Linked DNA regions of Stegostoma tigrinum. Each later gene encodes a partner of the first gene's protein in a complex. Links are inferred from orthologs where the notes say so. Each region holds a gene or a part of one and is shown on either strand. Other genes may lie near its edges.

What was found. The genes of interacting proteins can lie anywhere in the genome.
Region 2: the proteins of rnaseh2a (region 1) and rnaseh2c are in contact, whole or in part, in a crystal structure (PDB 3PUF), measured with the Homo sapiens proteins. The link is inferred for Stegostoma tigrinum from reciprocal best matches to the Homo sapiens genes RNASEH2A and RNASEH2C. Residues at the interface, in NP_006388.2 of Homo sapiens: Thr11, Asn99, Ser102, Thr103, Leu106, Gly107, Arg108, Val109, Val196, Glu197, Lys198, Leu199, Glu225, Pro226, Val227, Phe228, Gly229, Phe230, Pro231, Gln232, Phe236, Leu245, Ala249, Glu250, Asp251, Val252, Ile253, Trp254, Glu255, Asp256; in NP_115569.2 of Homo sapiens: Pro33, Cys34, Glu35, Val36, Ala37, Val38, Ala42, Pro43, Val44, Gly45, Arg46, Phe47, Phe48, Pro50, Ala51, Arg53, Ser62, Phe63, Arg64, Gly65, Arg66, Cys67, Leu68, Leu134, Glu135, Thr136, Lys143, Gly146, Ala147, Thr149.

Annotation. Positions count from the first base shown.
Region 1 is NC_081388.1:17,345,613-17,353,150, forward strand, and holds the start of rnaseh2a (ribonuclease H2 subunit A), read left to right. Parts: upstream 1-4,496; 5' UTR 4,497-4,612; coding exon 4,613-4,739; intron 4,740-5,334; exon of another isoform or gene 5,335-5,599; coding exon of another isoform or gene 5,600-5,612; intron 5,613-5,982; exon of another isoform or gene 5,983-6,007; intron 6,008-7,538. UniProt on the Homo sapiens protein: Catalytic subunit of RNase HII, an endonuclease that specifically degrades the RNA of RNA:DNA hybrids. Participates in DNA replication, possibly by mediating the removal of lagging-strand Okazaki fragment RNA primers during DNA replication.
Region 2 is NC_081395.1:3,960,392-3,967,747, forward strand, and holds the start of rnaseh2c (ribonuclease H2 subunit C), read right to left. Parts: upstream 3,098-7,356; 5' UTR 3,026-3,097; intron 1,834-3,025; 5' UTR 1,827-1,833; coding exon 1,676-1,826; intron 1,234-1,675; coding exon 1,121-1,233; intron 745-1,120; coding exon 625-744; intron 1-624.

The DNA of each region.
Region 1 (7,538 bases):
ATTGTTAGGGAATACTAACTTAAAGACGAAGTACAGTCTTGAAGAATTGGGCCTGTATGGGTTAGAATAAGGTCTATCTACAAACCCAGGCCGTAGTTTTATTTATAATTACTTTTCAAGGAAACAGCTTACTCTTACTTGTGACCTTTCACAATTCGAAAGAAATTGAAGTCACACTTTTCAATGTGCAATCATTGTTGTAATGCAGGGATTCAAGTCAGTCAATTTGTGCACAGTTTTTCGTCATAAGGAGCAGGTATCATGCACACAGTGGATATTGTCCCTGTCTCTGAGTCAGAAGTGTATGAGTCATAATACAGGACATGATAGCCAAGAAAAGCATTCATGATGTGGCCAAACAGGTTTATTATCAAATAAAATCAAAATACTGCAGATGTTGAAAATCTTAAACAAAAGCAAAAACTGTTGGAGAAACTCAAGAGTTCTGGCAGAATATGTGGGGATGGAAACAGTTCTAACATTTGGAGTCCAATATGACTCTTCTTTGGACAGAAGAACAGATTGCTGTTGGACCTGATATTGTTGAGTATCATCCTGAAAATCCTTCCAACACACACAAATGATAGGCTGGAAGAATGGGATTCTTGGTTAGCTGTGTAATGGAAAGAACCTTGAAGTTTCTACCATCTATACCTAACGTCCAGAGTGCAACATGAATATTGTCATAGCAAGTGGAACTCCCTGAGTAAGCTGTAATGCAGCACCTTTGCACACACCATAAACACCAATAATGACCTGATAAAAACCAAGAGAACTGTGGATGCTATAAATCAGGAACAAAAACAAAGTTGTTGGAAAAGCTCAGCAGGTCTGGCAGCATCTGTGGAGGAGAAAACAGAGTTAATGTTTTCGGTCCAGTGACCTTTCCTCTGTTCTGAGGAAGGGTCACCGGACCCGAAACGTTAACTCTGTCTTCTCCTTCACAGATGCTGCCAGATCCACTGAACTTTTCCAGCAACTTTGTGTTTGTGAATAATAACCTGATGTTAACAATGAGGGATAACAATGGGAGAATACCCCTGATCTTCTTCAACTTGATGCCACGTCATCTTTTATGACCTGATGATAAGACAGATAGACCCTTAACTGGTTTAACATTTCATCTGAAAATTGTCACCTGCAACACCGAAGCACTCCTTCAGTACTGCACTGGAATGGCAATCTGGATTACGAGCTCAAATCTGGAGTGCATTTTGAGCTCTTGATATTCTATTTCAAAGGCATTTGAGTTCACCACTGGGCTGCAGAGGTAGTGCTGGAGGATCCAATCCCTGGAATTGGGAATTCTACTCATGGTATTTTTCTTTAGCTTCTAGTCATCTTACATCAATAAAAAGGTTAGGTAGAGATGGTAGAAGCTTCAAGGTTCTTTCCATTACACAGCTAACAAAGAATTTCTCTCATTCTTTCAGCCTGTCATTTGTGTTTGTTGGAAGAATTTTCAGGCTGATACTCAATTATGTGCTGATGTTCACTCTTCCATGTCCATGTTACACACAAGGAAAAAATGTTTGTTCCTGATTTTAACCATCATTGTGCTCTGAGTTGGAGGGCAACATTAGGAAATACTCAAAAGATTTAGTTAAAGTAAGTTTTGATGCTTGATCCTCAGTTGATGGCACTCTATGATCTCGAATTTCTAAAGGAAAACAAGTTATGTATTTTCTCATCACCAGTGCAACATTGTTGGAAAGAAAATGAAAAATCCTGTTTGCTTTGATAAATAAGGTTAAAGGGTTCATTTGGAGCTATATCGCCTTTCCTTCACTGTTGCTGGGTCAAAAATCCTAGAACTCCCCTTTAACAGCATTGTAGGTGGATCTGCACACCTTGAATTGCAGCAATTTGCTGGCAACTTAACATCACCTTCTCTGGAAAAATAGGGAAGGGCAATAAACATTGGCCAAGCCAGCTATGCCTACATCGCATGAATGAATTAAAAAAAAAACCTTTTGATGCAGTTTCAAAGGTAGAAAATAAGAGGCAGCAGAGTATGGTGTTTTGCCGCTTTATATTGTTTCGAAACTCTATACACAATTATTTTTGACAGATAATGTGATTAGTTAGGCAGCTATTTTGTCTTGGTAATATCCTATAAAATCTTGAATCTATTTGTTGCATTATGTTTAAAATATCTCAAAAGTGTCTCATCCAACAAAACACCGAAACCAGGCCTCATCAGCAAAATATTGCACTAGATGACCAAAAGCTAGGCTTTAAGATAACAAAGTGTGGAGCTGGACGAACACAGCAGGCCAAGCAGCATCTTAGGAGCACAAAAGCTGACGTTTCGGGGCTTTAACAGTTGTCTTAAAGAAGAAGAGGTGAGGACATTGGGGGGGGGGGGGGGGCATGGGGCTGAGGAATCAACAGTTGATGGAAAAGAGTGAAAGGCATACATGGATTGTGGGGTAAGGGAGTGGTATTAGGTCTAAATCAGTTGCAGAGATCCAAAGGAATGAGATCATGATGGGAGGTGAGTGTGATTCTGAACATTTTTAGTAACAAGTAGTCTGCAGACTGGATGGCAGTAAAAACCAGCGTTTGAATGTAACATCACATTAGTTAGGATATGGGTAGCAGAGAAACTTAAATTTGTGGATGGTAGAAAATGGTGGACCATCTACAGCATTGGAATAGCCAAGTTTGAAATACAAAGAGCAAATGCATGAACAGTTAATTAGCTTGGTATACAGTTTAAGGAAAATGTTGGCTGAGTCACTGGGAGCCTTGCTTCCTGCTCTTTGAACAGCGTAAAGACACTTCAGTCAACATCCATCTGAAAAGGCCGACATGTTGCTCCCATGGTAACTGTGAGGTAGTTGATTTTATTGCAGATAAAAATAAAGCAATATGCTGAAAATCTGAAATGAAACGGAAATGCAGAGAGGGCTTATCAGCATTTGAAAGGGGAATCTGGGCTAATATTTCAGGTGGAATAATTCATAAGAACATTTGAAGTTCAGAGAACCTTAAAATGAGATCAAGGGCAAATCCTGGATATGAAAAAGCATCACTTGATATCATATAAATATACATAACACAATCCAATGTTGAGTTCATTATTATGTGAGCCCTGTAAGCTATTTTATTGTTGGAGGACTATTTCCAATTTCAATACTTAACACAAAGGCAATGCAAAATGAATGGTCGACTGGCTGATCGCTTCACAGAACATCTGTGTTCTGCTTGCAAAAATGACTGTGTCCTTCCAATTGCCTGCCACCCTAACCCCCGGCTGACATCTGTCTCAGATATAAAACAGTGTGGAGCTGGAGGAACACTGACGGTCAGACAGGCAGCGTCAGAGATGCAGGAAAGTTGACATTTCAGGTCGAATCATTTCTGAAGAAGGGTCCCAACCCAAAAGGTCAACATTCGTGCTCCTCTGATGCTGCCTGGCCTACTGTGTTCCTCCAGATCCACACGGTGTTGTCTCGGAGTCCAGCATCTGCAGTTCTTGCTATCTCTCTCACAGGCTTGCTGCAGTCCTCCAGCAAAGCTCAGCACAAGCTGGGAGAATAACAAGAGATGATGAGAACTGCAGATGCTGCAGAATCCAAGATAACAAAGTGTGGAGCTGGATGAACTCATCAGGCCAAGCAGCACTTTAGGAGCATAAAAGCTGACATTTTGGGTCTAGAACCTGATGAAGTCATTCACCCTCCCAACCAGATCGTTATCAACTCCTTTATCCCTGTCCTCTTCCCTTTATCCTATTATTTACACCCTCTACCCCATAGCCCTCCCTGTTCTCTGCCCTTTATCCTATTATTAACACCCTCTACCCCATAGCCCTGTCCTCTGCCCTTTATCCTATTATTAACACCCTCTACCCCATAGCCCTCCCTGTCCTCTGCCCTTTATCCTATTATTTACACCCTCTACCCGGGAACTGCAGATGCTGGAGAATCCAAGATAATAAAATGTGAGGCTGGATGAACACAGCAGGCCAAGCAACATCTCAGGAGCACAAAAGCTGACGTTTCGGGCCTAAACGTTCTAGGCCTGAAACGTCAGCTTTTGTGCTCCTGAGATGCTGCTTGGCCTGCTGTGTTCATCCAGCCTCACATTTTATTATCTTTTTCCTAGCTACCATCAGTTAAGAGGAAGGGTCACCGGCCCCCAAACATTAACTTGATTTTTTTTCCTTCAGACCTGCTGAGCTTCTCCAGCAACGTCTGCCTTTGTTCCTGATTTACAGCATCCACACTTCTTTCGGTTTTTAATCGCTATTTAAAACGAAATTTGGTTCTGAGTCTTTAAAACTACAACTCCCAGGGGGTTTTGCGCAGAACTGCACATGCGCACCCAGTTAGTGACGAGCAGAACACCAAACGAAATCAAAATTTAAATTTGTGAAAATAGAGCTTTCTGTAAATGCTCAGTGTGGAACTTGTTGTATCTTTCAACAGCATGATTTTTAAAATAAAAACAAAACTGAGTGAAGTGGCGTTCAGGATGGCATCAGAGGTCAAAGGGCAGGTTGCCGCTGAGCGCGGGAGAGATTAGTTTGGCGGTTGCTCTCGAGACATTTAAAAGCGCAGCCATTGTTCTATTTAAGATTGGCGGTTGTTGTTATAATTTTGCAATGGACCTGAGCGAGTTTCAGGAGGACAGCAGTAAAAGTTACCGGCTGGTATCAAAGGTGCCCGCCGCCTGTCGGACTGAAGATTGCTGCCTGGGCATCGATGAAGCGGGAAGGGGACCGGTGCTGGGTGAGAGGCGGGGTATTTGGTTGGGGGAGGGGCGAGGATGGTGTGGAGGAGGGGCAGGGTGTCCTGTCCAGGGCCCTGAGTGTGTGTGTGTGTGTGTGTGTGTGTGGGGCTTGGGGTTTGTAGGGGCGGGTCTAGTGGGTCGAAGGCGTTGGCTTGTGGGGGCGGGTCTGGGAGATGGGGCTTGTGGAGTAGTTCTTGGTGGAGATGGTGCGCTGCTGATCTGTGGTGGCGGGATGTGGGAAGAAGCCTGGATTTGAATCGGGGAGGGGTGGGAAGGTGGGTGCGTGAGTAATGGTTGGATTGGGGGAGTGTGAGAAGGGGAGGGGAAAGCAGAGGGACAAGGAATTTGGGGGAGATCTGGGTCTGTGGGGAGGGACTAATACAGGGAGGGTGGCAAGGACTAAGGGGAATTGGGGAGTGGTTGGGACTGGGTGAATCGGGTAGTGGTATAGCTGTGAATGGCAGGGGTTGGTCAGTAGTTAAGGGGAAGGGTTGAGTTGAGTGGTGGTCTCGGAGAGGAGGAAGGCCTGGTTGAATAACTGGGGGAAGGCCTAAGATTGGGGATGAGGGGTGAGGGAGGGGCTAACTGATTGGGTAAGTGGGTGTAGGTCTGGCTTAAGAGGCCAGGATTAGGCAAACGGAGGAGAGGGTAGGGCGAGTGCTGGGTCAATAATGGAGGCCTGGGGAAAGCCCAAAGGAACAAAGGGGGAGGATCAATTTGAGTGTGGCTGTAGTGGTGGGAAAAGGGTTGGTGAGGGCTGGGCAAATGTGGAGGGGGAGATGGTTAGTTCTGAATGAATAATGGAGGGAAAGGGGGTGTGACCTAGAGGAAATGGCTTCAGGTGCCTCAGTCTTTGATCATGATATCTGCCTGTAAGGATACTGATACTCCTGCTTGCACTGCTGCAAAACTTGTACTGAATATTTATAGACATCACCTCAAGATCCTGGAGAGTTAACGAAATCAACTGAAACAGGAGCTTGATTCGAACATTCAGTTTGTTTAGCAAATGTAGTATTCGAAATGTATCATCTACTTCAAATTTAACAGCTTCTGCCAAAAAATTGCAGCTAATTTAAGATTAGCACAATTCATGCTGCAAGATCAACTGACTTCTTGAGCCAATAAATCTGTCAGAAAATTCTCTTTTGTTAGTTGCTAACAACATTGAAAACGCTGTTCCACTTTGGGGCTTTCCTGTTGAAGTGGAAACGTTTGCCTATTACTTTGTACTGCCAAATAGAAAAGAATAGACAAGAGATTAACAGTAATTAGCAACAATTTATTGCTCTCTTTGAACAATTGCACTGTTTTATTTTGTTTTTAGATTGTTCTAAAGTCATTTACTGCTTGGTGCATTTAATGAGTTAGGTGGTGGAATAAAATGACTAATAATGCTTGTTAATTACCTTGCCAATGATATTCAGCTTTTTTTCACACCCCTGCTCCAGACCAGTGGTGCAGGTATGCGCTGAAAATATTTGACAACCTTTTTCCTTGCTGATGTGCTCATGGTAGGGAATGTCTAAGGAGAGGGCCTTAGAACACAAAGAATGGGAGGGAGAGTTGAAATGGTTCTCGAACTCCACCCTCACCCCCATCCCAGACCCCAAGAAGACTTTACACATCAAGCAGATGTTCACCTGCACTTCTGGCAATGTGGCATACTGCATCTGCTGTACCCTACAAGCCCCTACATCAGGGAAACCAGGCAGAGGCTTGGGGACCGCTTTGCAGAACACCTCCTCTCGGTTTGCAATAAACAACTGCACCTCCCAGTCGTGAACCATTTCAACTCCCCCTCCCATTCCTTAGATGACATGCCCATCCTGGGCATCCTGCAGTGCCATAACGATGCCACCCGAAGGTTGCAGGAACAGCAACTCCTATTCCGCTTGGGAACCCTGCAGCCTAATGGTATCAATGTGGATTTTGCAAGCTTCAAAATCTCCCCTCCCCCCACTGCATCCCGAAACCAGTCCAGCTCATCCCCGCTCCCTAAACTGTTCTTCCTCTCACCTATTCCCTCCCACCTCAAGCTGCACCTCCATTTCCTACTTACTAACCTCATCCCGCCCCCTTGACTTGTCCGTCCTCCCTGGACTGACCTATCCCCTCCCTACATCCCTACCTACACTCACCTCTACAGGCTCCATCCCCACCCCTTTAACTTGTCTGTCTCCTCTCCACCAATCTTCCCCTCTATCCATCTTCGATCCGCCTCCCCCTCTCTCCCTATTTATTTCAGAAACCCCTTCCCCTCCCCCCTTTCTGATGAAGGGTCTAGGTCTGAAACGTCAGCTTTTGTGCTCTTAAGACGCTGCTTGGCCTGCTGTGTTTATCCAGCTCCACACTTTGTTACCTCAAAGTCTTTCATTGGTTAGTCCACATGTTGAAATAACACCAATTTATTTTAAATGCAGCAGGGTTAGTTTCAAAATCTAGACAAGTGTCTTGTGTATAATCTGGATTAATTAAACTAGGAGAAACTGTTGTTCCCAGATGATACGTTTAAGATAATTGACAAATGAACTAAGGAGAAGGTGAGAAATGTTTTCATGCAGCAGGTTGTTATGATCGGGGATGTGCTGACTACGTGGTGGAAGCAGATTCAGTCATAACTTTCCAAATGGGTGTTGGATAGATAGTTGGAAAAGCAACATTTTCTGGATTATGGGAAAATAGCAAGCGAGTGGAATTAATTACAGAGCAATTTTTAAGAACAGGCTGAGGTACAAGGAGGCAAATGAGACTTGCTGCATTTTATAGTAGGAAAGAAAACCAGTACCCCACATAGC
Region 2 (7,356 bases), on another chromosome or scaffold:
ATTATGTCTGTGCAGAGCAGGACTTAGCTGGGTAGCAGTTCAGCATCAGTTGTGCTGCCCTGCCCTCAGTTAGGGCAAAGACAGAGAAAGGCAGTTGGGTTCCCTGTGGAACAGGTGTAGTGTTCTTAACTCTGAGCCAGGTGACTTGGGGTTGAAGTCCCATCTGCTCCAGAGATGTTGAATAACATTTCTGAACAGGTCAATTAGAAGTATATTAAAAATTGAGATATCAGTGCTCCTGCTGGTCACAGAAATGGGAGGAAAACCTTAGCCTCTTCTCTTGCCTGCTACATAGAAACAAGAAGCCATTCACCCCTAGAAGGGACGTCATACCTGCTGACTTTAAAGGGGAAGATTCTGCAGCTTGGGCTGAACCAGAGGGAAACCAAAGACTTCTCTACGGGTACAACTGAATTCTTCAATCATCATAAACCCCTCAATGGATCACATTCTAACCCCTGCCTCTCGAGGGAATGTGTCCTGTCTGTGCATCTCACCCTCACTATTTAACCCATTCAGCCTTTGCTCCTTCCCTAGGGTTTTGGGACTCAGGAGTGAGTCTCCGTGTTTGAAGTTCTGAAAGTTGATACCGGTTTGAAGGGATTAAAGTAATAAATGATTTACAGCTTCTGCAATCTGAGTCCAGCCCATCGCCATGACCACGCTGTCGTCTTCTGCTGGGGGAGATCCCAGGTTCCAGTAAGTCACTGAAGAGAAAGATGATTTAACACTGACGTTCCGGTCCTGCAAATCACAGTAAAAGTTTTAAGTGACATTTCATTGAATGATATTTAGGTTGTCATTTTGGAAAGATATTGGCCCTGATGAGGAGCAGGGAGCATTTCCAGCAAAACATTGCCACCAACAGCGCAGGTCACCCTGCATTAACAAATAGGCACCTCTCAGTTAGAGGTCACAGCTTCAGTACACCTCAGGAACATGAGCCACGTAACTGGAGCCAACCAACAGGTAAACATTGAGGGAGCGCCATGCTGTCGGAGGGTTGGCAGCGAGGGAGCGCTGTGCTGTTGGAGGCTGTAAAGGAATGTAACTTCCACCACTGGGTGATGTTCCTAGACTCGGGTGAGCGCTCACAGTTGAATATTGAGTGCTGTCTCACCTCCTCCTCCAGGCACGGTTTATGGTCCTCTTTCAGAACAAGTCCAACATATCCAGGGGGCACAGGAAGATCCCGACCTTGCAAGGCTCGGCCTCGATAGGACACCTGCAACTCTGAGAGAAATTTACCTTTTTTTTTATATGTCCAACGATAGCCTGCACGTCCCTGCCTTGGCCCATCCCTGTTGCTGGGTTACACCTGGAACAGGTCTGCTATCTTGGATAGGTCACTAGAGAGATACAGATCAAAGAAAATGGAGGGAAAAGACCCTGAAGGAAGGGGTGGGGGGAGAGATGAGGAGAATATTTTACTTGAAGCAGTGAGTTCTGATCTGGGGTGTGTTGCCTGAAAGGGTGGGGGGGGGGGGGGGAGCAAGCAGATTCAACAGGAACTTTCAAAAGGAGGGGAACCAGCAGGGAAGAATGAGAGAGATCATTCAGAAAATCTACACAGGTTGGATGGGCAGAATGGCCTGAATGCTGTGCTGGATGAGTTTGCTTGGAGTTGTGGTCATGGGTGCAACCCTCCAGGTTGAGCAATCAGCCAAAGCCTTACCCCCATCTCTGTGCCGCACAGCTGGGCTGAAGTACTGCTCCACTTTGGCACTGCCGTCAGATTCGATAGCAACAGGCAACAAGTGAAGCTGGTCCCTGGCGGAGAACTTCAGGGAACTCAGATCCACAGTGATCACTGAGTCGGCCGCCATTGCCTTCCTGTAGGGAATCAGAGGGACCTCATTAATCAACAGCAAGTAAAACCGGCAGCGAAACATCTGCGAGGCACAGCAGGCAGTTCATCCCCATCTCCGCCCCCGCACCCATTCCCCCACCTCTACCTCTCCCCCACTCACCTCCCATCCCAAAACCCCCACCCACCTCTCACCACATCCCCACCTCCCTCTACCTCCACCCGACTCACCACCCATCCCCAACCCCCCACCCGCTGTACCTCTCCCCCACTCGCAACCCCCCTCTCACCATACATTCCCCACCCACATCTCACCCCCTCACCACCCAACTCCACCCCCACCACTCCACCCCACACACTCTTCCCCTCACCCCCCTCCAACATTCCCCCCCACAACACTCCCTCCCACCCCAACACTCCCTCTCCCCCCTCCTCCCCCCCCCTTCTCCCCCTCCTCCTTCACCCCCCAACACTCCCCCCCTCCTCCTCCTTCACCCCCCAACACTCCCCCCCCTCCTCCTCCTTCACCCCCCCCCTCCTCCTCCTTCACCCCCCCCACCCTCTTCACCCCTCCCCCCCCCCCACCCTCTTCACCCCCCCCTCTTCACCCCCTCCCCCACCCCCCCCTCTTCACCCCTCCCCCACCCCACCCTCTTCACCCCTCCCCCACCCCACCCTCTTCACCCCTCCCCCACCCCACCCTCTTCACCCCTCCCCCACCCCACCCTCTTCACCCCTCCCTCTTCACCCCCCCCCACCCTCTTCACCCCCCCCCACCCTCTTCACCCCCCCCCACCCTCTTCACCCCCCCCCACCCTCTTCACCCCCCCCACCCTCTTCACCCCTCCCCTCCCCCCCCACCCTCTTCACCCCTCCCCTCCCCCCCCCACCCTCTTCACCCCTCCCCTCCCCCCCCCACCCTCTTCACCCCTCCCCTCCCCCCCCCACCCTCTTCACCCCTCCCCTCCCCCCCCCACCCTCTTCACCCCCCCACCCTCTTCACCCCCCCCACCCTCTTCACCCCCCCACCCTCTTCACCCCCCCACCCTCTTCACCCCCCCACCCTCTTCACCCCCCCACCCTCTTCACCCCTCCCCCCCGCCATCACTCCTCCCCCCCGCCATCACTCCTCCCCCCCGCCATCACTCCTCGAAACCCTCTCATTCCTCCCCCAGCCCTGTGCTCCCATCCCCGGTCTAATCCTCCCTCCATTCCCACCCGAGGCTTGTGTCCCGCGGTCCCGCCTCACTCTCCTCCTGCCCTCTGACCGCTGTCACGTGGCAACTAACAAAACGGAAGACACTCGCGAAATGACTGTTGGGGGCCGCGGGGTGCTCTGGGAGTTGTAGTTCATCCCCATCGTCACCGGCTCAGGGTCAGCGCTGAGGGAGCGGGCACTGTCGGAGGGTCAGTGCTGAGGGAGCGGGCACTGTCGGAGGGTCAGTGCTGAGGGAGGGGGCGCTGTCAGAGGGTCAGCGCCGAGGGAGCGGGCACTGTCAGAGGGTCAGCGCTGAGGGAGCGGGCACTGTCAGAGGGTCAGCGCTGAGGGAGCGGGCACTGTCGGAGGGTCAGTTCTGAGGGAGCGGGCACTGTCAGAGGGTCAGTGCTGAGGGAGCGGGCACAGTCGGAGGGTCAGCGCTGAGGGAGAGGGCACTGTCGGAGGGTCAGTTCTGAGGGAGTGGGCACTGTCGGAGGGTCAGTGCTGAGGGAGCGGGCACTGTCGGAGGTCAGCGCTGAGGGAGCGGGCACTGTCGGAGGGTCAGTTCTGAGGGAGCGGGCACAGTCGGAGGGTCAGCGCTGAGGGAGAGGGCACTGTCGGAGGGTCAGTGCTGAGGGAGCGGGCACTGTCGGAGGGTCAGTGCTGAGGGAGAGGGCACTGTCGGAGGGTCAGCGCTGAGGGAGCGGGCACTGTCGGAGGGTCAGTGCTGAGGGAGAGGGCACTGTCGGAGGGTCAGCGCTGAGGGAGCGGGCACTGTCGGAGGGTCAGTGCTGAGGGAGAGGGCACTGTCGGAGGGTCAGTGCTGAGGGAGCGGGCACTGTCGGAGGGTCAGCGCTGAGGGAGAGGGCACTGTCGGAGGGTCAGCGCTGAGGGAGAGGGCACTGTCGGAGGGTCAGTGCTGAGGGACCGGGTGCGACACAGAAGGTGCTCTGCAGAAACTCACCAAAGACCCTCAGGCAGCACCTTCCAAACCCACCACCCACTTCCATCCAGAAGGACAAGGGGCAGCAGGTTCATGGGAACAGCACCCCCTGCACATTCCCCTCCGAACCCCTCACCATCCCAACTTGGGAATATATCCACGTTCCTTCAGTGTCGCTGGGTCAGAATCCCTGGAATTCCCTCCCTCGCATGGTTAGTAAGTTTGTTGATGACATCAAACTTGGTGTCATGAACAGTGAAGAAATTCATCTTCACCCAAAGAGTACTGTTGACCATAAAATGTGAGGCTGGATGAACACAGCTTGGCCTGCTGTGTTCATCCAGCCTCACATTTTATTATCTTGGAATTCTCCAGCATCTGCAGTTCCCATTATCTCTAGTACTGTTGACCAATTGGGTCACTGAGCTGAGGAGAGGCAGATGGAGTTTCATTTGGTAAACGTGAGGTACTGCATTTTGGTAAAACCGATAAGGGCAGGAATTATACCAATAAAAATAGGCCCAGGGGTCATGGAGAAATCTCGGGGTTCAGGTCCCCCATTATTTGAAGTAGACAGGGGGTTAAGAAGGCGTTTCGCACAATTGCCTTTATTGCTCAGACCTTTGAGTACAGGAGTTGGGGACGTCATGCTGAGGATGTACAGGACGTTGGTGAAGCCTCTTCTGGTGCACTGTGTCTGGTTCTGGTCTCCCAGTTGTTGAAAGGATTTCTTAATCTGGAGAGGGCTCAGAGGGGATTTAAGAGGATGTTGCTGGGAATGGTACATTTGAGTTATCAGGAGAGGCTGGATAGGCTGGGGCTCTTCTCACTGGAGTGTAGGAGGTTGAGGAGTGACCTTACAGAGATTTATAAAACATGAGAGGTGTAGATAAAGTGAATGACAGGTGATTCTTCACTCGGATGGGGGACTTTAAGACCAAGGGACATATTTTTAAGGTGAGAGAGGACAGATTTAAAAAGGATGTGATGGGCAATGTTTTTTACGCAGAGATTGGTCGTGTGTGGAATGAACTTCCTGAGGAAGAGGTGGATCTGGGGATAGTTACAACGTTTAAAAAGCATTTGGATAAGGACATGAATCGGGAAAGGTTTGGAGGGATATGGGCTAAGAGTGGAGGCAGGTGGGACTAGTTTCGTTTGGGATTATTGTTGGCATGGACTGGATGGTCCGAAGTGTCTGTTTCTGCATTATCTGACTCTGTGACAGTGTTGTGGGTGTACCTTAAATTAGGGGGGAAGCGGGGTGATGGCCTTGTGGTATTATCGCTGAACTGTTAATCCAGAGAGCCAGGTAATAGCGAGTTTTGAGAAGATTTGTAGCTCAGGTTGAGGCTCTGGATGTGAGTTTGCTCGCTGAGCTGGAAGGTACGTTTTCAGACATTTCGTCACTTTTTTTTATTTGAAAAAATATGCTTTATTCATAAAATGTACAAAAAATAAAACATATTTATACACCTACCCAGTCATGCAAGCTGCTTCGGGATACCCAGGGGGTACATACACCAACTAAAGGAAAAAAAACAAAGAAGAAAAAAACCAAAGCAAAGAAAATACCCCGGCGGTTGTCACCCCGCACAGTCCCCGTTGGCCCCCTGACCAGTTGGGGAAGGCACCAGCTGGGCCCAGGTACAGGATAGGGCCCTTTTTCCTATTCTGGACGAGGGGTTTCATACCATGGTCTTTCCCCACCGCGCCTTGGCGGCGGCTGCCCCAAGCTTTAGCGCGTCTCTCAGCACGTAGTCCTGGACCTTGGAGTGCGCCAGTCTGCAACACTCGGTCGGGGTCAGTTCTTTCAGCTGGCAGACCAGAAAGTTGCGGGCAGACCAAAGAGCATCTTTCACTGCATTGATGGTCCTCCAGGCGCAGTTGATGTTGGTCTCGGTGTGCGTCCCGGGAAACAGCCCGTAGAGCACGGAGTCACGCGTCACGGAGCTGCTTGGGACGAACCTCGACAAATACCACTGCATCCCCCTCCAGACCTCCTGCGCATAGGCACACTCCAGAAGGAGGTGGTCGACAGTCTTGTCCCCCCCGCAGCCACCTCGAGGGCAGCGTGCGGTGGTGCAGAGATTCCGGGCATGCATAAAGGATCTCACTGGCAGAGCCCCTCTCACCGCCAGCCAAGCAATGTCCTTGTGCTTGTTTGAAAGTTCTGGCGATGAGGCATTCTGCCAAATGACTTTGGCAGTCTGCGTGGGGAACTACACGACGGGATCCACCCTCTCCTTTTCCCGAAGGGTCCTGAGGATACTACGTGCAGACCACTGCCTGACGGCCTTGTGGTCAAAGGTGTTTCCTTTCAAAAATGTCTCCACGAAGGACAGGTGGTACGGAATGGTCCAACTACTCAGAGCGTTCCACGGCAACAAGGCCAGGCCCATCCTTCACAACACCGGGGACAGGTAGAACCTCAGTAAGTAGTGACACTTGGTGTTTGCGTACTGAGGATCTACGCACAGCTTGATGCAGCTGCACACAAAGGTAGCCGTCAGGGCGAGGGTGGCGTTCGGTACGCCCTTTCCCCTATTTCCCAGGTCTTTGTACATGGTGTCCCTGTGGACCCGGTCCATCCTCGACCCCCAAATGAAGTGGAAGATGGCCCGGGTGACCGCAGCGGCGCAGGCCCAGGGAATAGGCCAGGCCTGCGCCATATATAACAGTACCAAAAGCCCCCTCGCACCTGACAACCAGGTTCTTACCCGCGATGGAGAGGGACCGGAGCGTCCACCTGCCCAGCTTCTGCTTCAGTTTGGTGATACAATCCTCCCAAGTCTTAGTGCACGCCCCAGCTCCACCAAACCAAACATCCAGCACCTTCAGGTAGTCTGTCCTGACGGTGAAGGGGATGAAGGAGCGGTCATCCCAGTTCCCGAAGAACATGACCTCGCTCTTACCCCTATTGACTTTGGCACCCGAGGCCAGTTCAAACTGGCCGCAGATGTCCAACAGTCTACTCACCGACCGATCGGTGCAGAAGACGGCAACATCGTCCATGTACAGGGAGGTCTTGACCTGAAGTCCTCCGCTGCCTGGGATAGTCACGCCCTTCAGGCTCATGTCCTTCCTGATGGATGCGGCGAAGGGCTCCACACAGCACACAAACAAGGCAGGAGAGTGTGGGCAGCCCTGCCTGACTTCAGATCTAACAGGAAAACTGTCCGATTCCCACCCGTTGATCGAGACTGCGCTAACGATGTTGGCGTAGAGCAGCCGGATCCAATTGCGGATGCCCTCCCCGAACCCCAATTTGGAGAGGACATCCCTCATGTAAGCATGAGAGACCCTGTCGAAGGCCTTCTCCTGGTCCAATCTGATGAGGCAGGTGTCCACCCGCCTGTCCTGCACGTAGGCGATCGTATCCCTGATGAGTGCGAGGCTCTCAGTGAT